Linked DNA regions of Arabidopsis thaliana. The protein of the gene in region 2 interacts with the protein of the main gene of each other region in a biochemical or structural test. Each region holds a gene or a part of one and is shown on either strand. Other genes may lie near its edges. The genes, in order: AT5G38640 and TOR.

Region 1 (15,800 bases), on a different chromosome or scaffold from region 2:
GTAATGGCGGACTGCTTTTTTTTGGTCAAAAGATAAGCTTAGTCATCAACAAGTGGACATGGCTAGAAAGTGAAACAAGAGACGAGGTCATTCATACGCATTCATTAGACAGTAGCAGCAAGAAACTTTTGGAAAACAAATGTTTTAGGAACTGTAAGCACATGAGCAAACCACTCAACGTTTCCCCAAATTCCACTATTTTTGCGCCTTTCAAGCGTAATCACCGCACACCAAATCATCTTCTTACCGCCTCTGTCACCAGTCCCACTATAAGGCATATTCTGCTCCCACAAAACCGCCATCTTTCCACCATATTCAGCCAATCTAACACAAGCATGAAGAGAGAACCTAGGTAGTCCTACCAAACCCTCCAATTTCTCCGCCGTCTTAGCTCAGTGTCATACCATCTTTTGGAGCACTACACATTCATTGAGTACATATGCGCACTACAAGAAAACATCATGAATTCCTATTTACAAGGAACGGTTTGATAATGAACCTTATTTATGAACAACCAAAACATCATGAAACACTCTTGATAATTATGAGTTGTTTGTAGGGTTTTATAAATTTCTGAAAAAGTGAACAGATTCTATAATCAACCAGTGGCATTAAATGATTAGAAGTGAAACAATAGAAAGAGTTATACATCATGGTTGCATGCATATACACCACACACATTCATCAAATGGTAGCAACAAGAACATTTTCGAAAACATATGTTAGAGGGACTGTAAGCACATGATCAAACCACTCAACTTTTCCCCAAATTTCACGTTTTTTGCGCCTTTCAAGCGTAATCACTGCACACCAGAGCATCTTATTAGACCCACTATAAGTCATATTCTCCTTCCACAAAACCGCCATCTTTCCACCAAAATTAGCTAATCTAGGACAAGCAAGAATAATAGGTAGTTGTTCTACCAAACCCTCCAACTTTCTCCACCGTCCTAGCTCAGTGTCATACCATCTGAAAACAGTGCCACGCCATGTTTTTTCGACAGAGTACAAAACGTTCTCTATCTCACAATAATCATATGAAGACTTATAACTACACATCTCTGATTCAACAAGGTCCCATATACCTTTCTTGGGATTGTAAGAAACCACCTTTCTCTTAGCCCCTACATACCACTTTTCGTCAATACATAAGCTTTTGGAGTAAATGTTGTGTTTTGTTTCGTTGTAAGGGATAGGTACATGATCCCAAACTTGTGTTTTTGTGTCGAACACCTCGAAAGTGTTCTTCAAGTTAAGAGAATCTCCATCTTTGCAACTTCCGGCTACATATATCTTTCCGTCAAGGACGCCAGCAGAAACTTCAACTAGCTCCACTGGCAAGCTTGGAGCCTCGCGCCACGTGTGAGACCGGCAATCAAAAATCGAGACACTAGAGTAAGGTGATATGGATCTGCCAATGTTGTAGATATTAGAACCAACCGCCACGAGACTGGAACGTTGCACAAGACGAGGATGTGGAATTGATACTGTAGCCAAAACATACCCACTTGACTTCTTCTTATTACTTGTTTCAGAAGATAGGGCTTGATCAGGTTTCAAGCAGAGAGTAAACCAGCTAGGGCTCTCAAAAGGATTTAAGTATAAGCATACATATAGACAACCCTCGGTGCGGTTCAAGAGTGACCGTTCCTTGTAAAGCTCCGGTGAAGCTAGGAGAGATCGAAAGCTCTTGGAGACAAAGGAGAGAATCGGATAATACAATCTTGAGACTCGTGCGATGCAGCTTATTATCAAAGCATCGGGAAGTGACGGATTTGAGTTCGATTCCGGCGCTGGCGAAAACTTTTCCGGGGACGACATTGGATGAGTTTAAGAGACGAAAATGGCTGTTGAACTTGGAGAAAACAAATTTAGGGTTGGACTTTATATATAGAGGGATTAAAACCGGTTAATGCCTTTGGTTAAGGGGAGAACCGGTTATTTGTTTTGTATGTTTTGTTTGGTTAAGCATTGAGTAGTGAGTTGTTGATAGCTTCATTTATGAACAACCAAAAAGGCTCTATTTGTATGCTAATAATGATCACTCGAAATCTCTAGGTATGAAACGATCCTTATAGTTGTGAGATGTGAGTTAGTTTTAAGAATTTATGTATGTATTCTATATTTCTTATTATGATATTGTATATTCAGTTTTTGTAATGTCGGATTTCTTTTATGGTAAAGAATTATGCTTATCAATCAATAAGTGACATAAATTAATTAGAAGTGAAACAAGGGACAAAATCATAGTTTCAAGGCTCGTAACGCATTCATCAAAGAGTAGCAGCAAGAACCTTGACGAATTCATATTGTCTAGGGACTGTAAGCACATGAGCAAACCATTCAACTTTTCCCCATATTTCCAAACTTCCGCGTCTTTCAAGCGCAATCTCCGCACACCAAATCATCTTCTTTCGGCGCCCAGGCAAATAGTCGTCCCACAAAACTGCCATCTTCCCACCATAATCAACCATTCTAAGACAAGCATCAATAGGGAACTTAGGTAATCCTACCATACCCTTCAAGTCTCTCCACTCTCTTTCCTCACTGTGATACCACCATACGGACGTTGAGATATCTCCTTTTACAATAGTGTACCAAACATTCCCTATATTGCGATAACAATCATATAAATACTTATTATGTTCTATGCTTGGTGTAACCAGGTCCCATCTACCTTCCTTGGAATTGTAAGCATCCACACCTTTGTAGCTCACCAGGTGCAATTTTCCGTCAAACCTTACGATTTTGTAGTGAAAGTCGTGTTTTGTCTCGCTGCAAGGGACAGACAAAGGATCCCAAGTTTGTGTATTTGTGTCAAACACTTGGAACGTCATGGAGTCGCCATCTTTGCATCTTCCTGATACATATATCTTTTCATCAAGAACGCAAGCAGTACATGACATTAGCTTCACCCGCAACCTAGGGCCCTCGTGCCACGTGTTAGACGTGCAATACAGAATCTAGACGCTAGAGGAAGGCAATTCATATCCGCCAATGTTGTAGATACTAGAACAAACCGACACAATGCTCGAAGAAGATGACTCAAGAGGAGTATGTGGAAATGGGACTGTAGCCAAAACATACCCACTTGACTTTAGGGTTCCAGTATGTTTACGGAAAAGAGTAAACCACCTCGGTTTCTCATCTTAAGGATTTAACTTTAAGCACACATAGAGACAACTCTCCGTGCGGTCCAAGAGTGATCGGGTCTTGTAAAGCTCCGGTGAAGCTATGAGAGATCGAAAGCTCTTGGAGACGAGGGAGAGAGCCGGATAATACAATCTTGAGACCCGTGCGACGCAGCTCAATATCAAATCATCGGGAAGTGACGGATTAGGGTTCGTTTGCGACTGCATCGTGTACCGCTTCTTCTCCAACTTTGCAGAGAACTTCAAGGATCGGTCTTTATAAAGAAATTTCCAAAACCGGCTCACGTCTTTGCTTAAGGAAAAACCGGTTCAACTTTCCATAGTCAATAGAATCCGAACCGCCAATTGATTTTGATTGTTGACCGGGTTTAGTAGACCGAATTTAGAATAGGTGAACCGTGGCCAGAATTTTGGCGGCCGATACACTTCTTTACCTCAGCCTCACATTACTACTCTCACAAAAGATACACAGAGAGAGAAGAGAAGAGGAAGAAAATGGGATCTATAACGGTAGCTCCGGGAACCACCGTCTTATTCTCCAGTCGGCGGCTAGATCTTTGCGGTCGTCGCCATGAGAATCTATCCGTCGTTTCGTCCTCACAACCGTCTCTGATGCCAAAGCAGAGATGGCTTTATATTCCCGAGACGAGGTTGAAAAGAGAGGTTTTAAAGCTCGATGTCGTCGGAAGAGCTGCTGATTCCACGAGCTCTTCTCCATCAGTAGCTTCCGGTGATAGAACCTTAATTCCTGATGATGAATTCACTTTAGCCAAGGTTTTAAATCCCTAATTAAAGAGTTTCTTCAAATTCATTGTGTTTATATAATTAACTATTCCTGAATCAGTCATTGCCTTGTCCAATTTTGTGAACTGTGTGAGATTTATGGTAAAAGTATAGTGTCTCTCCAAGTAGGTAGATTCGATTATTAGTGGTCTGAAATTGAGAATTAGGAAGGATTTGATGTATGCAACTCATAGTTTATAGGTGGTATTGAATGTGCGTTGGAATAATTTTGGACACTGAAATTTTTTCCATATGTTTTGCATTGCAGATTTCATTTGGTGTTATTGGGCTAGGTCTCGGGGTTTCGCTACTCTCGTGAGTTTTCTCTTGCCTTCTTTGTTGCTATGGGTATATGTGAGGTTTAGCATTATGGATCTGTTTAACAGGTATGGTTTTGGGGCCTATTTTACTATCCTTCCTGGAACTGAGTGGTCTGCTATAATGCTAACATATGGATTTCCCCTTTCTATTATCGGAATGGCTCTTAAGGTATGCTCTTTATGCTCTTTAGTTATCTTTCTCACTATCATGTCCTTGAGAAAGTGGAATGTTTCGGATAACTGTAAAATTACTGAGAAAATTGACTTTTGTATTAGAGTTACTCATTTCTTTCTTTGAGTTTTCGGAATGGTTAATTGTTTTAGTCCCTGAGGATGGGTTTTGCTTCCTTTGCAGTACGCAGAACTCAAACCAGTTCCTTGCTTGAGCTATTCGGATGCGGTGAAGCTTAGAGAAAGCTGTGCTACTCCTATTTTAACGCAGGTACGTAGTGGTTCTGGTTACTCTCGACTGACCGGAGTACCTTCAATCTGATTTTAGTTGTTCTTCAGCTCGTCTTTGTTACATTAATTTCCTAAAACATATTTATGTTTCTGATAAGAGGAAGGGGTGTTAGTAGTTTTCGTCATTAGTATTTCGAAATTCAATCTAAACACTAGCTTGATTTCAGTATCATAGGTTCTTTTGCAGAAAGTCTTGCTCAGTTTAGTTTCCCTATATGACATCACATCGTAGTTTTGTCAGTGCACATAGGATTTTAAATTTACTTCTCGTGAATTGTTAATGTGCCTTCTTCTTTCTTTTATTAGGTTAGAAATGATGTCACGAGATACCGTTATGGAGATGAACAACATTTGGAAGAAGCACTAAAACGAATCTTTCAATATGGGCTGGTAAGCTATTTTGTTGAAACAAAATGAAGCACGAAAACAAAATGAAGCACAACACACGCTTCTTGTACTTCCGCTTTAACCTCTCTTTCTTTCGACTGTTTTGGTCATAAGGGAGGAGGAATCCCGAGACGTAGTGCACCTATCTTACAGCTGATAAGGGAAGAGGTACATTTCTTCACGCGCATGACTTTACATCATATTATTTACATGAATCATCAAAATATATAACTCAATTTTTACTTGCATATGACATGGATATTGACTGGTGAAACTAAACTTAAACGGATCATTTTTGATAACTCATCATGTCTGTAGGTCCTGACCGATGGTCGGTACTGTGTGGTCCTTGTATTTGAGGCCAAAGCTCTGACGTTGTCAGATTTTGAAAAAAGACAGGTAAGAGTTAGATTCATATACTACTAACAAATCAGCTTGGCGCATAAGAAAATAGCTTAAGTAGCGTTGGTTTTATCAAATCTAGTTTTTAAGAAGTAGCAAAACATAAAGCTGGAACTAAGCATAAAAATTTTGTTTTGATAGGCGAAATTCACTTCCTTCTTTGGACCAAACATCACGGCAGAAGTCGGTAAGTAGTGAATCAATTCTCCATTCATGTTTATGAATTTCTTGTTCTCGGTTCTTAAAAAATTATTATTGTTGTTTTGCTTTGAAGGTAAAGGAGAAAGTGAGAATCTCTATGAAGTAAGACTGATTTCCAACCTCTCCACCAACTCTGTATCTTCTACCTCTTGAACATAGACAATCATGTATACGGCGACGTTTTCAGTCAATGTTATTTTGGTCTTGTAAATCAATTCTATATAATTATCCTATGTATAAAAAGTTCATACTATTTACAGAAATGGGAATTGGAACTAGCCTTGTCGAATGGTAATACGGTCGGAAGGGGACAAGCTACGATTGCAACGTGTTCTAGAGTAATTTTGATTTGAGTAAACAAAATACATATACTGTATATTATTCATATCTTGGTGAACAATACAAAATATATTAGTTTGTTTTAAATTACCAAACTAAAGCCTTAAAAAAAGTATCAAATTAAGCACATAAGTTAGAAAAGAAAAATGTGTTGTAAGAAAGAAAAAAGGTTAGGAAAGAAATATGCGACAGAAAAAAGAGTTTTATGGGCTTACAAATAAGAAAAGCCCAAATGGGCCTTGAGTTTGAGCTTTACATAAAATTCATTCTACTAAACTTAAGCAAAATCATTCCTTCTTCTTTCTCTGAAACTTTTGCCTTGCTTGCTTGCCCAGAAAGTCGCCGAGAAAGTTAAAAGTAGAACGGCGGAGGAAAAAAAAACGAAGAGGAAGAGGAGAGATGGAGTCGCAGAAGAAGATAGCTCATGAGATCGGAGGTATGAAGAACGATGCTCTTCGCTTTGGTCTTCACGGCGTTAAGAGCGATATCCTTAGATCTCATCCTCTCGAAACGGCTTACGAATCTGTAATCAATCACTTCACAATCTTTTTTTTTTTTTTTATTGATATTGAGGAATTAGAAAATTAGGCTAATTAAGGAACTTAGGGTGTTGATGAATAAGCTTCGTGTTGATTCAGAAATTTGAGAATTGGGATTTTTTGACGGGGTTTCTGAAATTAGTTTTTTTTTTTCCTTTCTATAAACTTGTTTATTGTGATTTCAGGGGAAGCAATCACAAGAAGAAATGAAGAGGAGAGTGATCACGCATACTTATGGAGCTGCTCTTCCTTTGAAGATGGATCTTGATAGACAAATCCTTTCTCGGTATGGATCTTTAAATCTGTAGCATATGAAATTCTGAATTACACTGATTATTAGGTATGAGAATGTATGAGAATCTTCCTTAGGCTTTATAGAATACTGTTAAGATTGAAATATGGTTTCCTAATGCTAGTAATCTATCTTGATTAGGTCAATTGCTGTTCTGAATTTTGAAATATTGTTAGTACAAATGTGTATATGAATCATCATAATGATTATATCGAAAATTCGGAATCATAATCGTGTAGTGCTACTTAGAATTAGATTTGCAGAACCATAAACGCGTAGTGGATACTCTTAAATTAGTAGCAATATGTAGATTGAATTCAGAACCATAAACGCATAGAGCAGCCTCTTCTTCATTGAATATTTATTGGTGAATTGAATATTTATTGTATATCTTTTTATGTGGAGTATTCAGGTTTCAGAGACCTCCTGGACCAATTCCTTCATCAATGCTTGGCCTTGAAGTCTACACAGGAGCTCTAGATAATTTTGGTTTTGAGGATTACTTGAATGGTAATTGTTTTACACCAGTTTTCCCATTTGGTTGTGCATTAGAGTTTTCTATTCCTACAATCTTTGAGCATTTCTCAAAACATGACCGTCACATACTGCTTGCATTGTGTAACCAAATCATCCTCATCCTTGCATAGAGTTTAACTCTTTGTTTAGCATATAATAGAAAAGTGTCTCAACTTGTTTATTTCGTTTCGCTTACTAGTCTCTACTTTGTAGATTGTTCCACTCCAAAACACCAATAGACAGTGACAAACCTTTGTTCCAGTTAGACTGTCACAAATCATCGAGCATTGCTCAAAAATTGACTGTCACATACTACTTACTTACATTGTGTAACCAAAGTTGAACTTTTGGTTCAGTATATAAGAGAAAAATGTTTAAACTTTTTAATTCTCTTAGTTTCACAATTTATATTGTTCTGACGATGAATGGTGTATAATCTACAGATCCTCGCGAATCCGAGACGCTGAAACCAGTAGACTTTCACCACGGGATGGAAGTTCGGCTTGGTCTCTCCAAAGGCCCAGCTTCCCCAAGTTTCATGTAGTCACCACCATCAAAGTATTTCCTTCGTCAGGTCTCATATGCTTTTTAATCTGAGTAAGATCATGTTATGAATTTCCACCAGCCCTAAAAGAATCTACTTGTTGTTTGATCTCTTCTCTATACTGTGTCTCCTTTGCTCTGAACATGATAAAACATATGAACTGTGTTTCAGTTCTTATCTCTCTCAGTTCACAATTTGTTGGACTTGCTTAGTTATTTAAATAAGATTATGCTCCTATTTCATTATTATGTTACTGACACCAAAACCTTGGATACTAGATTCTATTAGAATAAATAAATTGCATATGGATTAATACTCTAAACAAAACAAAAACAAAAGAACAAAGTAAGATTGTTTTAGTGACTCGGACTGGACTGTTAACATCGGATAAATCTGAAAAAGTAAATAAATAAAAATAAAAACCCTATTCTACGTTTTATTCGTCTGGGAAAACAAAAATTAAATTCGATCCCCAAAATTAATAATTCCGTCTTCACCGAGAAAAAATCCAGAGCTTCTTCTCCTCCGACGCGATGGAGTCTCGTCGGAACCCTCGCGCCGTAGTAGATCCAAAGGTCCGACAAGTCGGTTTCTTCACATCATCTCAACCCGATTCATCAACTCAACAACAACAACCCGACCCGATCGCTGCTACCTCTGCTTCTTCTTCTTCTTCCACCATTTCTCCTTCCGGTAACTCACTCTCCCCCGTCATGATTCCTCCTCCTCGTCTCAATTCCTCTGATACTTTCCCTCTTCGAGTCGCTGTCGCTGGTGCTGCTGCGTCAGCCGTGTCTCCTTCTTCGTTTTCTTACTCAAGTCGCCGTGATTTCCCTGATGGATCAACGACGGCGTCTCCTGGACGCCATTCCAGGGGTAGTTTCGTAAAATCATCTGTTCCTGTTGCTTCTTCGCTGCCTGGTATTGGGATGGATTCTATGGCTGCTGCTAAATCTAGTAGTGTTCCTGCTAGTGGTTTAACCACTGTCTCCGTCGTTACCATGCCTCCTGGACTTTCTGGTACTCTCACTTTTGATCTTGTGGAATCATAATTTGATTGATTTTGAAATTTGTTCTTTAGGATATATGAGGCTAATGTATTCACAATGTTATATAATTGCAGAGAAGGCTAGTGGAATGGAGGTGCAGAGTGACCAGAAGAAGCCATTGAAAGAGAAAACCACTAAAGCTGAGAGACGAGCTATTCAAGAAGCTCAAAGAGCTGCTAAAGCTGCTGCAAAAGGTGCATTTTTGATTTAAACCAATGTGTGGTTTTATCGCAATGAATGATTCGTCAGCTTAGTACAGAGATTTGATATGCTGGTTGCTCTGTTGTGTTATCGTTGTGTATTTTGCAATATCTTAATCAGTCTGTGTAATACTGTGCTATATCAGCTGATGGTGGGAAGGTGGCACCAGTGTCCTCAGCCTCGGTGGCTTCAACAAGTGTTAAAGCTGCTAAACCAGCGAAGGCTACATCTCAGAAGAATGATGTTGCTGTTGCTACTGGAGCAGCTGAGAAGAAGGGAGGTCCATCTGAAAAAGATAGAAAGAAAGATGCTCCTCATCCCCGCATGCAGTATGATGATGAGAGTAGAGTCGTGAAGGCTAAAAGACGTGCTGTTGTAAAACAGACCGAGGCTAAAAACAGGGTTGAGCTATTTAGGCATTTGCCTCAGTATGAGCATGGCACTCAACTTCCTGATCTCGAGACTAAGTTCTTCCAACTTGACCCTATGCATCCTGCTGTGTACAAGGTATTTGTTTTCTCTTGAATTTATCTGGTTGGTGCTTCTAATAAACTATTAATAATCTCTTTGTTAAAACAAGGAACCGTTTGTTCTAATGAGTGGTTTATATTGCTTCATTAAGATGAATGTTACTTGTATACTGAATGAGTATCAGTTGTTGTGGTATCAGGTTGGTCTTCAATATCTTTCTGGGGATATCTCTGGTGGCAATGCCAGGTGTATTGCGATGCTCCAAGCATTCCAAGAGGTTGTCAAAGATTATTCAACACCGCCTGAGAAGTCTCTTAACAGGGACATGACTGCGAAAATAAGTAGCTACGTCTCCTTCCTCATAGAATGCCGTCCGCTTTCGATTAGCATGGGAAACGCAATACGATTTGTGAAAAACAGGATTGCAAAGCTGCCTATAACACTTTCTGAATCTGAAGCAAAAGCTACTCTTCAGTCAGATATTGAACGGTTCATTAACGAGAAGATCATAGTGGCAGATACGGTGATAGTCAAACATGCTGTTACTAAAATAAGAGACGGTGATGTCCTTCTGACCTACGGATCTCCCACTGCTGTTGAGATGGTAATATTACATGCACATGAACTCAGGAAAAAGTTTCGAGTCTTGGTGGTGGATTCTCGTCCAAAGCTTGAAGGGCAGCTACTGCTTCGTAGATTGATCAAACGAGGCATTAACTGTACATACACTCATATAAATGCCATTTCATATATCATGCATGAAGTCACCAAAGTGTTTTTGGGCGCCTCGTCAGTTTTGTCTAACGGAACAGTTTATTCAAGGGTTGGGACTGCTTGTGTTGCAATGGTTGCAAATGCATTCCGTGTTCCTGTGCTTGTATGTTGCGAAGCCTACAAGTTCCATGAGAGGGTGCAATTGGATTCAATATGTTCCAATGAGCTTGGTATGCAATATCTTCTCTCGATATCAGTATCATCTTATACCGCCTTTGATTTTGTTTTACCTTACATTGGGTTTCTTGCTTCTTTACCTTTAGGTGATCCAAATGCTATTTCAGAAGTTCATGGAAGAGAAGACATAAACTATTTAGATGGCTTGACCAACAACGCAAACCTGCAGTTTTTGAACTTGATGTAAGCTTGTGTTTATCGGAGAAGTGAAACTATGTTCTGTTAATACTAATCCTCTCTGCCACTAAACTCGTTTGTGATTTTTCTAATGACAGGTATGATGCTACACCTTCAGATTACATTTCCATGATAATCACAGATTATGGCATGGTAAGATTAACCATCGTCTCTTAAAAACATAGCATTAGGTTCCTGAAGTCTCAGACCTATAAAATACAGTTTCTCCACTTATTCAGAATCTCAAACCATTGAACGCAATGTTTTCGTTTTCAGGTACCTCCCACAAGTGTGCCTGTCATCGTGAGAGAATATCAGAAAGAACACTTGCTTGTCTAAGCAAAGCTCATTTTTGCGAAAGCTCTTCTTCTCCAACCCCCTCCTCTAGCTCAGGCTCTTCTCATCACAACCCAGATAGAATAACTACCGGCACTGCCTCCCCTCATCCGCTTCTTTTCCTGAGTACCGGGTTCATTTTTTTTGGCCTTGACTTGTTTTTAGAAACTTTTGACTCTGTGAAGAGTGCGATTCATCATCCGCCTCTCCGGGAAGATTTTATCGATATCGGTGATGTTTTTCTTTGTCTGTGATGTATGAGTGAGGCTTCTCTTACTCTCCCTTCTCATGGAGGTTGATACAAATCTTTCTCAGATTCTATGCCAATTTTTGTTGGGTTCAGTCTTCAACATTGGTTACACGTGTTCTCATGCTTTACTTGTATTACAGTCATATATGCACTGCTCGTTAAATCAGTTCAAAAAGACTCAATTACATCACAAATTGTCTCTTAAATAAACAATGTTTCGATAGGTCGAAATGTTGAAAGAGATCTTTTCGAGGGTTTACTCTATTGTGTGAGAACTTGATCCTTGCCACTGACCGGAGTAACCACACCGAGTATCACGAAACCGCCAAGAATAAGGATTAGAACGCCCATTGTGTTGACTAACATTGCCTCTGTGGAATACCGAGTTATCACTTGATTCACTTGCAGGAACGTCACCTTCTCAAGTATCCCTGTGGTTGCAGTCACCAACGCCAATGCATATATGGAAATCCCTAAGAACACATGCCATGGCATCAAACTGGCTCTGCTGTTTCTTGAACCACCCGGGTACCAATAAGTCACAAACCCTGCAGCCCACTGTTTGTAACAATAGATTTGAGTGAGTTCTTGATATTTATTCTTACTGAGTAATGGAGATTGTTATTTTAAAACAAGTCAGAACAGAGAGTGTACCTGGAATGCAAAGAGAAAGAGGCAAGCAAGGCCGAGCCACGAATGGAGACTGTAGAAATTTTCGATCCCTTTGTCAATATGGAACTTGAGAGCAGCCCACACTCCGATCAGGCTTAGAATAAATGCTGTGAGTTGTAGTGTAAGATGAACCAGTTTTTTCAAGTTCTTTGTACCTTGAACTGACTTATATGCTAACATAGCTGCATAAGTTGAAGGTACCGTTCATGTTAGAAACGAAAACATGTCCATGGTCTCTTTACCGAATTAACAATGCCGTAACTAAAAACAAAAAAAACTAATCCTATGAGTCCTAAACCTCTTGACATAAAATTTCAATGTACTCAAATGTTAAAAAGGGCAATTCAACAGTTCAGTCTCTTTGACAAATGAAGTATGCGGAAATCGAACATGAAAACCGATACAACGAATACTAAAACCTCTTGACATTAGAATAGTCGCCAGACGGTAATATACTACAAATTTGAAGTCTAAAATATGAAGTTAAGACGGTAATATACTACAAACTCTTAACATGTGAAGGAGATTGTTTGCTTACCTTCTCCATTGAAGAGTATGAGTCCAATCACCATCATCACTGGATGAACCTAAAAACAAAGACATTTGACATCATCAGATATATATCTACCAATGATGACATTATACATCCAAATATGAGTCTCAGATCATAGCTTGTGATCACACAGAAAAGTAAAATCCAAATTTCAATATCTCAACAACACAATCAAGAAATATGAATCTCAGATACAGCAACAAGAACATTTCATCCAATCCATTTCACATGTGAGTCAAAACAACAATCGAGAGAATTACATTAAAGATGTGATCTTTGTTATCAGAAGAAAGAGCTAAGCCTCCTCTGTAATGAACAGTCCATGTCAAAACCAAAGCCGCGATGATGAAACCCAAAACTCTCACTACCATGAAGATCGGAAATCCACCCAGCACCGGAACCGCCATACTAAGCCCAGAAAATGCGAGTCTTTTATACGGCGATCAAAATCAGGATGAATTAGGGCTAGGGTTTTAGTTTTTAGTCGAATTTTGGGGATTTCTGAATCACCCCCTGTGTTTTAGATCGGCAATTACTCGACTTTGAGTTTGAGGTCAACCAGAGTGATTTGCCAGAAATATTATTTTTATAAGATTTTTTAATTATTATTAGTAATTTGATTTAAGGGTAAAAAAATGGAGCTTTGTGTCACTCACAAAACTGATTAGAGTAAAGATCTTTTGTTTATGTCTACTTTGCCTATTTTTATTTTTATTTTGAGAGAATTACAATGACACACACCCATAGATTTTTATTTCAGAGGCAAAACAGTATTGATTAATATTGAATAGTAAAAAAGATGAAATTCTCCAAAAGTATCTCTTTGTTATGAAAAATAAAGAAAGTGTGGCAAAGTGTAAGTCTTCCGGTCGTTAACAATGTTTTCTTCTGCTACCATGTAAGCTTTGTTAACTTCATAATCACATTTTAAGAGTGATACTACATTGTTGATCTTGTGATTAGAAAGAATAAACACGATAATGTGAAGAACCAACTATATATTTGTTTGTGTCTCTCATAATAATCTGACAATTTTTTTTTTGTAGAATCTAAGAAAATAATTATAAAACAAAATAACTAAAAATATCGCTAAATAAATATGAATGATAAGAAAATAACTAAAAATTATCAAAATAAAAATAAATAAATTATCTAACGTTCTAATTAAATACTACACTAATAAATAAATACTAAATTTGTTTATAAAATTAATAGTAATATAAATAATTTGGAGGCAAAATTTAGTTATTTTATAAATTTTGTTTTTAAACTATTAAAAAGAGTCTTAGGTAATTCTTTTTTTGTTTTTTTTTGTTTTTGTGTGGCGAAGGTCCATAGAGCATAGTTGAAATTATATATCTATTCTTGTCCATCTTTGAATAATTTATCATCAATAATGTTATGCTTGTACATAAGCAAATAAGAAAGGATGAAAAAAAAAAAAAAAAGGGGATTCTGGTGGATGGTTAGGCTTAGCCCATATTACGGTCCATGTGGTTTAATCGGTTAAGGAGGATGATATGGGGTTTCGATATTTCCTTTTTCATATGAGATTCGATAGTCCCTTATATATATGAGACTGAGAGATAGAAGAAGCCTTCACTTCAATTATCTGAAAATTGAGAAAAAAATCAATCAGAATGGTGAAAGGCACGAAGAGAAAGATTGCGATTGAGACGATACAGAAGAGAGATTCCCTTAGGGTTACCTGCACCAAACGCCGTAAAGGTCTCTATAGCAAAGCCTCTCAGCTTTGTCTTCTCTCCGACGCACAAATCGCTATCTTAGCGACTCCTCCTTCTTCTGAATCCGACGTCTCTTTCTACTCTTTCGGTCACTCCTCTGTTGATGCCGTTGTCTCTGCTTTTCTCTCCGGAAAACGTCCTGTTTCGGCTCCGAAGGATAACAAAGAGACGAGGGAGGACGTTGGTATCTGTTTGACTCGCAAGAATCTAGGGTTAGGGTTTTGGTGGAATGACGAGAGCCTTGTGAGATCGGAGAATCCTCAAGAGATTAGTGAAGCGATCGGTTCCATGTGGACTCTGTTGAGTAATCTCAAGGAGTTGCGTGCGGATGAAGCTTGCGTTAACGATCACAAGGACTTGAAGAAGAATGAGAAGAGCGATGTTCACGGAACTCAAGATCAAACCCTAATTTTTCAGTCCGCTTCTGCAGTTTGTTGCATCCCTGAAAATCTCAACGATATTACTCAAGAGCCAAATCAAACCCTAGATATTCAGTCCAGTAGTTCTGCAATCTGTTGCGTCCCTGATAAATCACCTGAAATTTTCAATGAAATCACTGAAGAACAAGATCAGATTCTCTCGATTTGTGAAACTTTTTGTGTTACGGATAATAACAACAACAACAACAACAACGCTGCTTTACCTGAAGTTAACCTATATTACAATCAAGACATGGCTATTGATCAACTCATTGACTTCAACACCCCTTTTGAAAGCTCGATAGATGATTGGTTTTCGGACAACACTACTCATCAGGAGACGACTAGTGCAAGTATTTTGAACGATGTTGGTGTTGATGATCAAGTCTCGGTGGATACAAATCCGTTTTCTTATTTTCAAAGCCTTGAAGATGCAGATTTGGTGTTTCAGAGATGTTTGGATGGAGATAATCTACGATTCTCTGATTGTTTCAATGACTTTGCAAACACTATTGCAGCAGTTTGAAGATAATCTCTCTGCAGTTTTCAAATCAACTTCTCTTTGTTATCTGTATGTATTGATTCTATTAGAGATTTATTTGTTCTAGCAATGTAATGAATGATCTGGTTTGACCTCGATCAGTTTTCCATATATGTATGAGGGAAATTGATCGAACTCAAACTGGTTCTCTGCTTCATCAGTTTGGTTTAATGATAATATTTGTGTTCTGTTTCTATGTTTTGTATTTGTAGTTTTAAGTCCAACAAACTCATGTCTTTTTATAAATCTTAATCGGATAAAAAAAAAGGAAATGTCTTTAATTTATGGCAAAATTGGTAGCTAACCAATGAGTATGATAAGAGAATCAGGTGAAATTTCGATTATATACATAGAGTTAACCAACTGGTATGCAATTGTATCATTTACACATTCTACAAAGAAATTGCCACTGAATAAACTTCAGGTTCCTCTGTTTCATTCTTAAAGTCTCAGAGTGGGGACCAAGATCAACATGATACAAAGTGATCAAAGCTAGAT
Region 2 (15,385 bases):
GACACGTTTTCGTTTGTGTAACATGGAAAAGCCATGGATGCATGCACGCTTTACCTGTAAACTATCATCAACTCCTTTGGCATTTGCTGCACATGCTATAGAATAAAAATATCCAGTGACTGCAGAAACAACGTACTGGGAAGCAATTTGACCTCTTGAAATGTAATGCGACATCACTGCTGTATTGAATAATGCCCATGTGTGCCATGCTTTAGCCCATTTAGGAGCATAGCAAGTAGATTTGTCAAACGCATCACGAATTTCTGGAAAAGAGTATATTTGGTCACCAAAGTGTTAAGGTCAGACGTAGTTTGATTACACTTACACATTTAAAAGCAACTACAATTCACCTTGAATAGACCCATCATTCAAACCGGAAGAAAGTGCCCACTGCCACGTTCCCAGTTTGAGATTTACACGTGCAAGAAGTGGAACATTTGCGCCCTTGCTAGATACCATGCTAGCCAGTATGTCAGATTGAGAATGTGGCACACTTGAGAGCTCTCTCGTTAGAATCTAGAAACAATTAAAATTTAGATCGAGGGAAGCTATAACATGGCCGTTCAAGCAAGATATGGGAAAATGTGAAAAAGAGAATAAGCCCAGACAATGCAAGTAGCAACTGGTATATGACATACCTGCAGCTTGGTAAATGCCTCTTTGCGCTTACGTTCCTCTCCAAGTGACCATTGGTATTTTAAGTATCCAAGCATCACTTGTGGAGGTCCGTGATATTGCATGTTTTCTGGTGATACTTCTGGATCAAACTGCAAAATAAGGGCCCAAGTTAGACATAACAGAATAAAGATACACTCTTGGCAGAGAAAATTCAACAATCAAAAGGTAAAAGTTCAAGACCGGTAAGAGCTTGAGTAGAGTAGATTTCGCCTGACTGATCCTCCCACTCTTTCGACAAAGCGAGGCAAACTTGAGCCAAGTTTCCACATCTTCTGTAGGAGGTAGCACAAGTGCCCGGACAGCCAAAAGTGCTTGCCACACCTGAGTAGTATTGGGAATGCAAAGTATTAAAAAGCACACTATTATACAAAAAACCTGAGATCACTCAATAAAATTTTAATGAGTTTTCTTATTTGGATTTGTTTTTTTATCTACGTAGGATACAAGCTCTGACTAACAGTTTGGTAAGAAGCTACTTTACTTTATAAATCAACAGACGGAAACTAAATAAAGCAAACCTAATATGGAAAAAATCAATTTGATCCTAGCGAAGATTCATTTAATAAAGTCACCATACTGCAATATTTGATGCTTAAAATACCAAATGCCTTGTCATTCACTAGTGGCTCAACTAACATGATAACATTAAAAATAATATACCTCCACATTACGCTTAGATCCCTGAATCCGCTGAGTCCACATATTACGAATTAGAGCTCTCCGTTCTTCGGCAATAGTATTTCCCACAGGCAGCGTATAATATTCAATTACCTAGTATCGATACAACAGGGGAAAAAAATAGAAAGATTAATCATGTATATGGAGGGGTGTTAGGGAGGGTGTCCAGGAGAAGGGATCTTGGATAATTGAGATCTAACCTCCTCTAGTTCTGACAGCTGCTGAACACGAACCATATTGCTGTACGCACGCTCATAGCTCTCCAAAACCTGTAGAAGGCGCAAATAGACAATTACAAGTTTTTCAGTATGCGTGAGCAACTAAGAAGGTAACATGGTGATTACATGATGCTTCTATTGAAAGGAACCAACGATAGCATGCACAAAATGTTATTTAAATAGAGCTAAATATGTAACTAAGATGTCAGGAATGTATAATCCTACTTCCAACACCACAAGGCGTACTCAAATAGTTTCAAGAACATAATGGAAAAGGCTGAGACCAGTTACAAATATCTTTGCTGATATACATCTGTTCCCTTTATTCACAACAGATGATTCATAGATATTTTTCACAAAAGTTTATAATGAAAATACTACCAGAAATGAAACCTACCAGCGCTGCAAGTTCTGTGGCAAGACATTTTCTAGCTCTTTCCACATATTCGCGTGCCTCGTCGTACTAAAAAGGAAAGAAAAATATCCACAGGCACACATACGCAGAAATTAGTGTCTGCAAATAGATTATAAGTAAGCCTGATAAGATTTATAGTACGAAAATATAGGTCCAAGTGTACCTTTGCCCTTCGAACTAACAGAACAGCCCTGAAGAATGTGCCATTACTGCTCCCATCGCCACTAGAAACCGGGCTTGCTAAACCCCGAAGCTTTGTTTCATCACCATCATCTAGCCGAGACACATATTCGGCCATTTGATCCCACTCTCCCATGTTCCATGCAGCTTGTGCAGCCTAGTATGGTTGCAAAAAGACATTATGTAACCATGTAGCTATATCACCGAATGTAGCATAAGTAGAAGTTACCAACCATTGGTGCCATTTCCAGACGCGCAGATGGCTCAGCAGGACTCCAGTACTCTTTGCAGAGATTGTTGAGCTCTTCCCATCGTGCAAGTGCAGCAAGACATCTCATTTGTCCTACAACGTGGTAAATAAGCAATAGAATCAGGCCATTTCATGAAAAGAAAAGAGAAGCATCATATGAATTTTAGACTGGAAAAAAATGCGTTGATCTGTTGTTCTGCTAACTTGTAAGAATGTTATGAACCCACAGTTCTCTATGAACTACTAACAGAATACCGACAAAAAAATGCCAACAGAACTTAGAAAAAAACATTATCGAAGAAAAAAACCCACTAAATCCTCCCAATATTAGTCTTGGTTACCACAAACCTAATGTGGCTTCTAATACAAGATGAGGATTTGTTGTTTGAGATGCTTTCAAAGTGTACGCCTTGAGTGCATCGTCCCAGCGCTGCAGCTTCTCATACCTAGAAACAAACACTGTTAGTGCTTTTCCACTGATTAGGATCAAAGAATGGAACCACACACAATCTTGTGACGGAATGCCTATCAAACAGAACTGAAAATAAGTGCATCATGATTCAGAAAAGCCATGTTACCATGATTCTTTTAATTGCACATCAAGATGTTGTTGAGCATAGGTTAGTATACCGACAGCAGCCTATACAAAGAATTCCAACCAATCAATAATAACAAATATCAAAGATGGTCGAAATAGGATACAAAATACAGTGTACCTCATGCTGGTGTAACTGATTATTTATGTGTATAAGAGCCTCGACAACAGCAACTGGGTTGGCATCCATCCTCTTGGATCGTGGACCTTCAAATTCCATCTCTTTATAATGCAGAGCTTTGGCAAAAACACGGCACTACAAAGTTGGAATATTGCACATTACCAAGAAAATCAGATGAATTCTTGATACGCAAATGAAAAAAGTACCAAATCTAATTTAACTAGCAAATACATAACGCAAACCTTTTCAGCAAGAGCCCCCAGAAGACGAATATCAATGGGAAGAGGCTTCTCATCATGTTCCATAAACTCTGCCTAAGAAGAGAAATAATAAAATCAAGCACAAGTGACAGGACCAAGCAACAGGATCACACATAAAGGTAGGTTGATATTGATTCTGAACTTATGATTGTTTATCCAACCTAAACGTAATATAGATTAAACGAAGTATAAGCAGATATTTGGATTATAGTGTTAATATTAGATTAAATAAAAATTACACGTCATGTTTCCATGTACACTCACAGATCGTTTTGTTGATGGTTTTAGCAACAAAAAACGTGTTTTACATAGAAAGATTAACAGGTGCAACCGCTAAAGAAATGGTGACCTAAGAAGTTTTTGTTTCCAGTCTTGGAAAATGTAGTCAACTCATAACAATCGCCTAAGCTAAAACACAAGCACTCAATAAGCACAAGCATAGCCACAGGAAACAAATTTGCTGTTCGTTATAGCCAGTGACTCAATCAAAGGTCTTTATCATGTTTAAGTTTTCTTGTAATGTAACAACGAACATACCAAATTGAGTAGTGTAGCTAAAATTTCTGGAGGGATATTTGGAGATGAAAAGGCCATTTCCAAGCTCCTAACTAACTGCTTTTGGCTAGACTCGTTTAGCTGTGCCCAGCAACTGACAAAGCCAGCAGCAAACAACTCTCTCCCGACAAATGGCTGCAAAACACAATCATTAAAATGCACCCTTTTGAGAGAGGAAAAGAAAGAGCATAGATGAAACACCTGCAACTGAGCAAGTTTTGCACAAGTTCTTAATGCTGGAGAGGGAGACTCCTTAAGTAATTCAATACTAAAATGTCTCATCCATTCCTCCCAATCTTCTTTGGTGCTGCGTTGAGAAGCTTCTCCAGCTGTCCGTAGTCTACCATCATTAACCTGTTCAGCAGATCATCAAAGCCATGAGTGAAAGTTTTAGCTCTTTCAAAACTAAGAAAGAACCAAATAAACTTTACTAGAGGATCATGTTAAATCAAGCCCATATATAGTTTTATTTGTTTTTAAAAGCTGAATGTCCATGGAGAAGAGGAAATATAGAGGACATATTTACAAACTCATTGAAGCAAATGGCTCAGGACCAAGACTAAGCTTCAATGAATGAACGTTGCTATAGATAAACCTACCCATCATTTAGATAGGAAAAAGAAAGAAAAAAAGATCCGCCTTATTCAGCTAAGGAACCCTACAATACACCCCATGTTTGCCTCAATGAAGTCATACTAATAATGACTATGCCGACCAGAAATTTTGTACAATGTTAGAGTAAAATCATGATTTTAACTTGAAACTTGATAACAAAATTTTCACACATTAAGAATCTATATGTGATTATATACGACACAGAAAAGAGTACCTGATGGTTTCTGTCAGTTCCTTCTTCGAAAGGATCGATCTCATTCTCAATTACAGGATCCCTGATAACCTCAACTGGCAGTCGCCTACTTAATTGTTGGGTTGCAGTTGTAGCTACAATCAATGGTTCACGTCTCCGCCAGCGAGCATGAATTTCCTCAAATTCTTTATGCTGAAAAAATGTTGTACAGTGAGATTTTACAGACAGAAGTTCACAAATGACATTTATAATACATGACAGATAAATTTTTGCTGCTATTTTTATTTAAAAGATAGTAAAATGCAAGACCCGCAATCGATGCTTCAATAAAAGCTTGTGAATTGATTCAATGAATATGGTGAAGTCCTCTCCAAGTGCATGAGCCAAACAGCATAGTGCATCGACAGCATCTTTCCGCAACTCATCATTCTTCCTGCGATTACAGAAGATATACCCCATAAGAATATTTATACGTACGAAACTGAAATCACGAGTAAGGTTTAGAAAAACGTGAAATGAAAATCCACTAGAAAACAATTGGGTCCCATCAATAATGGCAGATAAAATCCCATGATATTAAGAAATGTAACTAACATCTGCGGAGTTCTAATAACAAATACATGTGGCCAGAAAAAATTGTAACTAAGCAATACAAACAACTTATGGAAAACAGATTTGTAACAGTAACAATGACGGATTGAAAGTTAATGAGATAATAATAATTCCATCCTTTTTGATAATGCATTGTCAACCATTTAAGAGAAAACCAGATAGTGACACAATGCCTAAGTTTTGAAGAAGTATTGTAAGAAAACCCTTAGGAAAAAGTAACCAATATACTGTTTTTCAGATAGTGACAATCAGTATAACTCACCCATCTAATACTAGCTTCAAGTGATGCACGAGAGCGGAGATATGACCAGTAACCTGAGGATATATACGGATAATTAAAAGTATTACAAGAAGCTTAATATGGAATTTTTTCTGGATCAGCAAAGGGAAAAAAAAAATCAAAATAAATAACCAAAGCTCCTAACCTGAACACACGGGATTACTCTTGTCAAAGTTTTGATGGCATCGCGTCTTATAGCTACAGGAGCATCTACTTTAAACAATCGAATAAGTGCCGGAAGGAGTAAATGCATGTGCTCATCAAGAGTTCCTGCACATAAGGACTCTAAGGGTCAACCATCAGAGTGAAATCTGGCCATGGTGAGAAAATGGAAACTACAGGAGTAAACAATCTGACTATTCAAAGAACCTATATACCGAAAAAAAATTGGATTTAATAGATAAGAAACAAATATGCATATAATAACGAAACTACTTGTATCATCTTACACTACACAATCTAATAATGTGGAACCTCTTTACATTCTTGTAAAAGAACTGCATACGTTAATTACTAGAACTCGCATACCCAAGTAATATAAAATGACTATGAGGATGTCAAAACAAGATAAGTATTACTGACCGCCAAACACTTCGAGTGTGTGGAGAATATCAGGAACATAGGTGTAATCATTAAACCGCTCGGCGTCACCTAATACTTGGATGAAACATGGAAGGATGACTGGAAGATAAGTTCTGAATTCATCATTAAGTGCCAAGCAAAGATGTTCCAGTAGATGCAGAACCTGATTATCAGTAAGAGAGGCGAAGTACTCCCCATAAGATATCTGTCCTTAATCAATAAGAAACATAGCATACTCTAGGCAGCATACAACTTACCGGAAGACCACGTGATGGGCGTATGGGACCGGGCAAGGTGAAGGATGACCATAGTTCAGAGACTAATGAAAGCAGCTCTGGCAGATACTTGCGTATGTGCTGTACACAGATAACATAAGCTATGAGTTTACACAAAGTCGGTCGTATTTTGACCATAACTGAAAATATTAAGGTGGATATACCTGGCGAACAATGGAAACAAGAGTCCCAAGACCCCACGTAATGAAGTCCTTCAGGTTCTCATCAGATGTTCGAACAGTGTGAAAAAGCTCAGGTAAAACCTTCAAATTCAGAGGTGGAACCAACCCAACAAATTACCACAACGTAAAACAGAGAGAGCATTTATCGAAAAGCTGCCGGAGATACAATATTATTTACACCTACCTTCGGCAAGTAAGGCACGCATCCCAATCCCATTGACTAACCTCGCAAAAACAAAGTAGTGATAAAGTTGTAACCTCCTCATTGCAGTTCCAACACAAGTTTATTTTAAAAAACAGTCAAGATGGTTTTAGTTACCTTGAAAATGATCATCAGAGATCTAACAACCCTTTTGTGGTAACTAAGAAGTGATGCATCTCTAAGAATTCGCATAAGCGAGTTGATAGCAACCTATAACAATAAGGAAAGTAATTGAGCACAATTCAGACTACAAATGAAATATATTCACACAAATTAAGAACTACCGTTGAGTAATAATCCTCAGATGTAGCAAATGACGGCCGGAGTTCGACAGGTAACTCATCAATTGATGGAATAGGTTGACCAGAATCACCAGTGCCGCGAGGAACTTCACCATGTGATCCTGATAAACTTTGTTGGTTACGTTTATGCACATGAGGATCCAAAGCGCCCATAATTCCAAGAACCTGTAGATATAACCACGTTTATCACAAAAATATCTTCTAGAATAGTCTAGAGTAAAACAATTCTCTAGAAACTACCTTGAGCACTTCTCGTCTGGTAGACCACACTAAGTCACCCTTCAGCAATTTCAAGAGTAACCCAAGCAACAATGGGTATTCCTTGTATGGAGTCACAACATACCTACGTTCATAATGAAATTAGAGCCGTAAATAACATGCAGGGAGGATTGTAAACTTCTGGAACTCCCTTCATTTTGTACTAGTTATGTGCACAATAATTAGCACATGTCCCAAGCTACTAAACAGTAACATGCAAGTTGATCACCGCACTGTCTACAAATGTCTACAACTTCATAAACACCAGTGATACAGTTGATTAAATCTAGGCAGCATAATATCCTAGGTATTGGTAAATCAATCCTTTCGCACGACAAACAGAGAATACAACTCATGACAAGTCCGGACACAGAAAGGCAATATTCTTTCTCCGGAATAATGAGCCATCTCAGGAGAGACGGAAAAAAAACCATCACAAAGATCTACCGCAGATAGAAGAACTAGCTAGGGATAACAATATTGTCATTTCATATAGAATTTTCTCACTTTTAGTAGGTTAAAGGATAAACATAACACATATGTATACATTAACACATAAACAGCCTAAGGATAGCTCAGGCTTCTACCTAGCTAATAAGAAGAGATGGAGGCCCCGTTTGTGTCAAAAAATTCACTTAGAATCCAGTATTTTCATCTAGTCCAACCAGGCTTTCGCCAATCAAGATAGTAGCATTGTCTTAGTTTACAAGAAAATTAGCATGTTCAAAATTGCCTAGTAGCATTATCATATAAAACAAGAAGAAAGTCGTAAAAGAAGGTCAATATCTCATACCCTGTACTTTGAACAACTTGACCAAGAGTAGAAACAGCCACCTCACGTTTTGCTACAGCAGCTCCATCCATTAAAGCTTCAACAATTAAAGGCATCAGCTCCGGAATATATTGTCTCATTGCCAAGCCACCCTGAGCAAGCAACGCAAAAGAAAACCAGGAAGGGAATATCTTAGCCAAACACAATAAATAACAGGACAGGAAAGGAAATAAAAGTACCAACATTCTGTTAACTTAGAGACAACAAAAAATACAATATTAGATGCCGGCCAGGGCATTGAAATTTGAAATACGCTTAGCCAACACAGACTTAGAACACAGATAGAAATAGTCAAAAATCAGACTGCAACTTTAACGCGCAGCAAAAACGCAGTTATGTTTGAATCGACACTTAATATAGAATCTAAAACTTGCCAATTATATTTCAACTTACCACTCTTGCAAGATCCCCAACAGTTACGAGAACTCCAGTGACAATATTATTGTTAGCATTCACTCCAGTTCCTTCACTAAGTCTCGCAACAAGTGCCTAGAAAACAAGAGTTACAACCCCGTGAACAACAATAATAGCCATACTATCTAAGAAATGAAAAGAAATTAAACCTTTTGGACAGGGGCTACGTATGGAAGAATGAGCCGTTCACAATTTCGAACTAAACAACCAAGGAGCTTTGCACTCTCTTCCCTGCACTTGTTATCTGCACTGCTGACATTACAATTGAAGTCAATGCAACAGATACATAATCATAGGAAATGAATCTTCCCATATGAACTAAAAAATTTGTAGTTACCTCAGCTCAAGATAGGTCAACAACTGTATAAGATGGCGACGAAGTGCTGGAAGTACGTATGCTGGATTTTTTTCCGATAACCTTCCAGCAACTGAGATGGCATATTCTCGAACATCAAGGTCCTGTTAAACAGAGATATTGTAATATATGAATTGAAATGGTTCCATTGACTAGGCCAGATACTGTAGCCAGGTGGAGTGAAAGTGTGAAACATAAGCCAAACATTCTATCAAGTTAACAGGGTATCACATGATGCATCCACCAACAAAAGGCATTCATTCCATCCACAAATCATCCAATTAAGTTATCTCAGCTGCACTTTTCCAGTACAACTTAATAAGTAACACTGTTTTGTGACACAATAGAAGCTAATTCATAGACTAAAAGCCCAGCTACGTCTTGGTATCCAAATTTTGATATTAGGGGGAGTAATTAAATACCAACTTCATGAACCCATGAAATTGAATCTCAAAGAGCAATACAATTACAATAATTCACCCAAGAGAGACAAATAAAAGATCGGTAACAAATTAGGACTGCAGTATGACATCTAAGCTGCTATTTTATTCAAACAAATAACACAATCATACCTCATCATTTAAGGAAGCAAAAATGGCAGTCAAACTATCAGCCTGTGCTAGATAATCATCGAAACATTGGTTGCCAAATAAAGCAACGAATATAGATTTGCGAACAGTTACATCAGCATCTGCAACGGCTGTCCTGAGAAGCTTTTCCACAATCTGCAGAACCCAAACATCATTTCTCAGCAAGCAGAAAATTGGAACCGCCACTGGTATTGCAATTATAAATGCCATCACGAAGCATGTTTAACATACTTAAGTTCAGATTTGGAAAATAATAAAAAGAAACCTTTTGTAATGAGAAACAGTGAAATTAAAAGACATAATAAGAAAAAAATGTAATGGGCTTTCAGTATGATATAAAACCTCTTCCACAAGGCGCCTGCGTCTCCCCCCTGCTCGTGTTGACCTGCTCGAGCCAAATTGTGTGATGCCAGAAAGAGAATTTGCAATTAGTCTGCAACAACACAAAGCAGCATCTTTTCTTGTGGCTGCATCCTCATCATCCAAATAAACAACAACTGACTCCCGAGCAAATTCAAGAAGATCATGTCCCTGCCAGAAATCAGAAGCTCAAAGACAGAAATTTCATATTCTTTAGAAAATGTTATCCGCAAAGAGCGCCAACCTTGAAATTGAAACGAGCAAGAGTCTGCAGGGCTAGTTGAACTTGAGCTGAACAACTAGGGTCAGAAGACTGTGGTGCCATGCCCACTGTACTACCTCGGACAATGGTAACAGGAGGCTTTGCTTGAGAATAATGGGATTTTGAAAGAACCAACGAAATGCAATCTAGAAGCCGATCTTGTACTGTTGGCAGCAAAGAAGGAATGCTGAGATACAAAGAATTGTCAGCATTAAACGTATACACATCAATGTATGTAATAACAAACTTCTTTCGTTCAACTTTACCTGATGGTTATCTGGTCAAGAGCGTCAACAAGTGTGGAAGAGAGACTAGATGAAAACATAACATCTAAAAGATCTCGAACATGAGTTTCCACTGTGGATCCCATTGCCTTTGCGATGTTACCAACACAAGCCACAGCTTCAAGCAAAGGTCTGCCTTTACGTGGAGCAATCTACAGGGACAACATAGTCGAACAAAGCCACTTGTCTAGTTCAGTTTTCAAAACTAAAACCCAATATAATACTTTGACACAAAAGTAGTAAAACGTAATTACAAAATAAATAAATAAATAAATAAAATTTGACCCACCGCATCCCGCAGATGAGACATAATTGTCGGCAAATAATGGATAAGCTCACCATCCAAAGCACCAGCCATTTCCCCAAGGGCGATGAACCCACTGGCTCTTTCAGCCGGTATTCTTAACACAGTAAGAATATGATTCATGCATATCTGCAAGAAAGTAATTCGTGTCACGTTTCCAGAAATTTTTTGGTTTTAAGAATCTCTCAGTCACTTACCGTTAAATAGTTTGTCACAAACCGGTCACGGAGAAAGTGAGCAATGCGAGGCAGTAACGAGGTGATGCTAAGGCGAACAAGGCGATCACGATGTTCAAGGTATCTGAGGACAATTTCGGCAACTTCTCTATACCTAGACATCATGAACTCACCTGTATTCCTGCAAACGAACTCTAGCATTAAGCTGTAAACTCTAACACCCAATATGCCATGAAATCAATCTGCTTATAACAGAAAACAACGTAATTTTCGTCGTCAAGAGTCTTTTGTTCAGGTATACACTGAGAGTGGAGGAATATACATGAATTGCCTACTTTTTTAATGATGTAAACTACAATACGAAGACAAACTAACAAAACAACCCGAGCATCATGGGGACAAACAAGTTGTTCTACGGAAATATTCCAGAATCAAACTTGAGTGTCTGACTAAAAGAAAGGGATGCTTTCAAAATAGATAACCACTTCTGCATTTACCTCAACAGCTCCCCCACGGCAAGTAAAGAACCATGAATACTGTGAACCGGAGCATTTCTGCCCAACCCATCCTGTGTAGCTTCAAACATTCGATAGTACCTGTAAAAGCCAAATTGAGAGAAGATCAGTTAATAAAGATGGAAACCCCTATTGATAATTTGAAACATTGCATTGGCAATGATATATATAAATGCAGTAGAAAGTCTGCAAAACGTATCACCATGGGAAGAATATATATTCGAATATCATCCATTTTGGGGGGGGGGGGGGGACCACAGCATAAAAAGCTAATATAAGTTGCATTTACACAATAAAATATACAAAGTAGTACTTAAATGAGGGTGATTGCAAATGAAAGTATTGCAACAACACAAAGAAAAGCCTTGCATCAAAAATATCATACCAAATACATAACCTAAGGAAAACATTTCAGACATTATCATTTTCAAGGATAAGAGAATACTTACCACTGCACTCGCCATCGAGTCTCCCTTTTCTCAATAACACGAAGGCATGCACGCAAAGCTTCAACAGCTCGTTCTCGCACTTGCAACTGGGGGTCCCTAAGTGCAACCCAGATAGCATCCACAAATTCAGGGACATGAACGTTAAAGACAGTAGAAGCATTTTCGGCCATCTCCTGCAATGTTGCAAGAAAACATCCATATCCGTATTAACTTAGGATTGGAAAGTTATCATCACTATCATTTTTCAAACATCTATAATCCAATTTATTAGTTCAGAAGTTTCTTTCTGAGTAACTAAAAGAAAAAATGATCTGCTTATCTAAAGGATCGGGCAGCTGAAATCAGGATACCTTTAATATTAAAACGGCGGCGAAACGACGATATTCCACCCTGTCTACGCGAAGCCAATCAAAAGCTGTTTTCATCTGTGAAAACGAGATCAAGAATTGAGCAACTATGAGCCGAGACAGTGATAGGAAGGGGAGGGAAACAAACAATCTTACCTGAAACTCCACTTCATCAGAAGTCATTGCTCCACCTGCCCGAGCAAGGTGCCCCAAAACTCTACTAGCAAGCACCAAGATTTCAGGATCACGCTTCAACTCGAACACAGTCCTCATGTAACCCGCAAATCTAGAAACCTTAGTAGCATTCTCACCAAATCCAATCTCCGTCAACTCATCAATGGCTCTGAGTGCACCCATGTTTTCCGCCACATCAGTGCTCTCAATTAAATTAGCAATCCTGTCATATAATTGCTCCATGAACCTAGAGGAAGCTTCACCACTAAGATCACGAACTGCTTCCTCTACGTGTTTCCTAAACGCTAAAGGAGCTCCCTCCTAATACAACAACCAAAAATCATAAACAAAGTCGCATACTTGATGGAAACCAACAACAATAGATCAAAACCCACAAATTGCCAGACCTATAAGAACTAAAACTTCGAATTTTCCATTAACCAGAACAGAGAGATTCCGTCAGATAAGCAATAAAAGCAAAAGGGTTATATGGGTTTCTACTAAAGCATAAAAAGGGAGAATACTTTACAATGTTCTTCATTACCTTAGGATTACCACGGCTGCAAAGGTCAGCGATGACACGATTCAAAGTGTCAAAGCTTCCGCCACCAGAAGCGGTGGCTGAGGGACCACAAAAGCGGTGCGATTGCGAAGGGGAAGCCATGGATGCAGGCCGTCCAGCCACAAAAGATTGCGACGAGGTAGACATCGCTGCAGGGCCAGTCCAGCCACAAAAATCTTCCAAAAACCCTAAATCTGACCCCTTTTTGGTTCAACAACACTTGGGCAGAGAGAGAGTATGTACAGAGGAAGATAGAAGAATCTTCAACACATGATGCGTCGAGAACCGAAGATCGCAGAAGAAATCAAGATTTTTTCTCTTATTTTTTTACAAATTCAATTCGCTGAGTGTCTTTTTAGCTTTCTTAGGTTTTGCTTTGTTCTTTCAGAGACCAATTATCTTTGGTAAATAAATTGGAAAACCCGAAAGGTTTTTACTAGGAAAATATGACTTTTTCCTTGGAAAATTGTAAAACTTATGTTTGTCTATCAAAAACTTATAAATACAATATTTTCATTTTTTTTTGTCACTGATTAATTACTTAAAACCCTGAAAGGGTCTTTGTTTGGGCTATGTAATGTTTAGAATGTTTAATATACACTTGTCAAAGAAAAAAAATTACTTGTGAAAAAAAAAATAGTCAAAAACTCATATTTGTTCACTGGACAATAGAATAACTTTTTTTGTCAAGGAATAACTTTGTAGTTTCTTGAATAAGTTTTCTTTTATTGTCATTTCACTTTATTATTATTATTTCCAATTATGCTTTTAAGCAGATAAGGAGTTTTTAAAATGATCATTAAATTGTAGGAAAATAATAAACTATAGTTTTGTTGTAATTAGTAGTCATTACGAACAAAAATAATGGGGAAAATGAAAAAATTCAATTGAATGCATATGGTTAAGTTTGTCAACAAATTAAATAAATAAGAGGAATAATATCTATACAAAAAAATATCGAATATTAGTCAAATTTTGAATAAAAAATGTCAAATAATAGTAGAATTGTAAAATAGTTGTATGGTAATCGATATATCATATATTGAAAAATTGATGAAATGTGAATCATATCATTCAGTTAATTTGAATTGTTTTTCTTTTTTTTGGTATGGAGTGGATTTGAATTGTTAGATGTGATGAAACTTTGTTTTTCTATTCATAAAAATTCTAAATCATAGAAATCATTATTTATTCTCCAATGGTAAATTTTTGTTTTGCTTGTATGTTAAGTAGTATTCATATTCATATGTATAGGAAAAACTAAAGAAATGGCTCCTCCAAAATATAGTTCGTGTTTCTCCGTTGTTACAACGAAAATAATCACAATGATTGTGTATGACAAAATAAGCATTACATTCGAAAATTAAACGAAGCACATCCAACATAAAATTTCAAAAGAGTTGTGGCTTGTGGGAGGCTATAGCATCGCTTGGTTTCATCGTACACATCAAGGATGGTGAATAGACAGGGTCCAAGTGTTAACGTTGCGCAATCCCATAACGTGACAAGAATGTCGGTGAAAATATTGGTGTTCTTTTCTCTCCAAATTAATAAACTACAACTAAGAGTACTATTTAAAAAAGAGTTAAAATGACACAAAATAACTCAATTTTTTATATCATTAACGCATTATACGTATAGAATTTAAATAATAACATATACATTTCCATATAGGATAAATAACCTCATCAAAAAAAAAGAAGAATTTTATTATTAGTTTAGACTTTTTTGTCAATATTAATTTATTAGCTTCTTAAGTTTTATATTATTAGCAAAGGATAATGATGCCAACTATATACATGCGTGCTCCAACTTTTGGGACCAATTCATCTAACCTAAGTGATAAACAGATAGATAAATTATCCACTTCTAACTATTTTCCATCAGCTTATTTCAAAATTTAAAAGCTAAATCATTTCAAATCAAAAAGGTCTTTGGCTTTTTTTTATCCACTGTTCCATTATTTCTCTCTTCCATTAAAAAAACTGCATTTTACAAGATCTTTCAGTTTTTAGAAGTAATCAAGTATCAGTGCCAAAAAAAGCTACATTAAAATCTTACAAATTACAGTATACGACGTATTCCTATTTTCAATCGTTATCTAAGTAGAAATATATTTAATAAAACGTGTGAAATGTCAATAAAACAACAACAAAATGTACATACATTAAAAAGAATTCAAGACCAGCAAAAATATATATACACGTTACTATTTAATCTCTTGATATGTTTCCTGTATAAAAGAAAAAAATCTACCATATAAACCTCAATAACGATTCCAGAAATTATATCAAAATTGTAAAAGACAAA

Evidence for each region.
Region 1: of the proteins of TOR (region 2) and AT5G38640, one has a biochemical effect on the other in vitro, tested with the Arabidopsis thaliana proteins (one large-scale study listed by BioGRID).

What each region holds. Positions count from the first base shown.
Region 1 is NC_003076.8:15,463,345-15,479,144, reverse strand, and holds AT5G38640 (NagB/RpiA/CoA transferase-like superfamily protein), read left to right. Parts: upstream 1-8,420; 5' UTR 8,421-8,470; coding exon 8,471-8,957; intron 8,958-9,060; coding exon 9,061-9,180; intron 9,181-9,332; coding exon 9,333-9,694; intron 9,695-9,857; coding exon 9,858-10,602; intron 10,603-10,695; coding exon 10,696-10,792; intron 10,793-10,884; coding exon 10,885-10,939; intron 10,940-10,959; exon of another isoform or gene 10,960-11,062; coding exon 11,063-11,125; 3' UTR 11,126-11,466; downstream 11,467-15,800. Other genes in the region: AT5G38680 (Galactose oxidase/kelch repeat superfamily protein), read right to left, coding at 105-281, 925-1,821; AT5G38670 (Galactose oxidase/kelch repeat superfamily protein), read right to left, coding at 2,274-2,963, 3,174-3,359; AT5G38650 (Proteasome maturation factor UMP1), read left to right, coding at 6,446-6,571, 6,771-6,871, 7,290-7,387, 7,837-7,937; APE1 (acclimation of photosynthesis to environment), read left to right, coding at 3,648-3,926, 4,204-4,250, 4,322-4,424, 4,611-4,697, 5,024-5,107, 5,219-5,272, 5,423-5,503, 5,648-5,689 and 5 more; CYB-1 (cytochrome B561-1), read right to left, coding at 11,634-11,930, 12,027-12,226, 12,583-12,631, 12,858-13,004; AT5G38620 (MADS-box transcription factor family protein), read left to right, coding at 14,238-15,287.
Region 2 is NC_003070.9:18,526,398-18,541,782, forward strand, and holds the start of TOR (target of rapamycin), read right to left. Parts: upstream 13,599-15,385; 5' UTR 13,223-13,598; coding exon 13,058-13,222; intron 12,835-13,057; coding exon 12,496-12,834; intron 12,418-12,495; coding exon 12,343-12,417; intron 12,166-12,342; coding exon 11,993-12,165; intron 11,625-11,992; coding exon 11,526-11,624; intron 11,210-11,525; coding exon 11,050-11,209; intron 10,982-11,049; coding exon 10,838-10,981; intron 10,701-10,837; coding exon 10,531-10,700; intron 10,452-10,530; coding exon 10,247-10,451; intron 10,174-10,246; coding exon 9,985-10,173; intron 9,778-9,984; coding exon 9,625-9,777; intron 9,157-9,624; coding exon 9,035-9,156; intron 8,947-9,034; coding exon 8,847-8,946; intron 8,773-8,846; coding exon 8,677-8,772; intron 8,376-8,676; coding exon 8,245-8,375; intron 7,537-8,244; coding exon 7,434-7,536; intron 7,359-7,433; coding exon 7,176-7,358; intron 7,102-7,175; coding exon 7,009-7,101; intron 6,910-7,008; coding exon 6,874-6,909; intron 6,771-6,873; and 44 more. UniProt on the Arabidopsis thaliana protein: Essential cell growth regulator that controls development from early embryo to seed production. Controls plant growth in environmental stress conditions. Acts through the phosphorylation of downstream effectors that are recruited by the binding partner RAPTOR.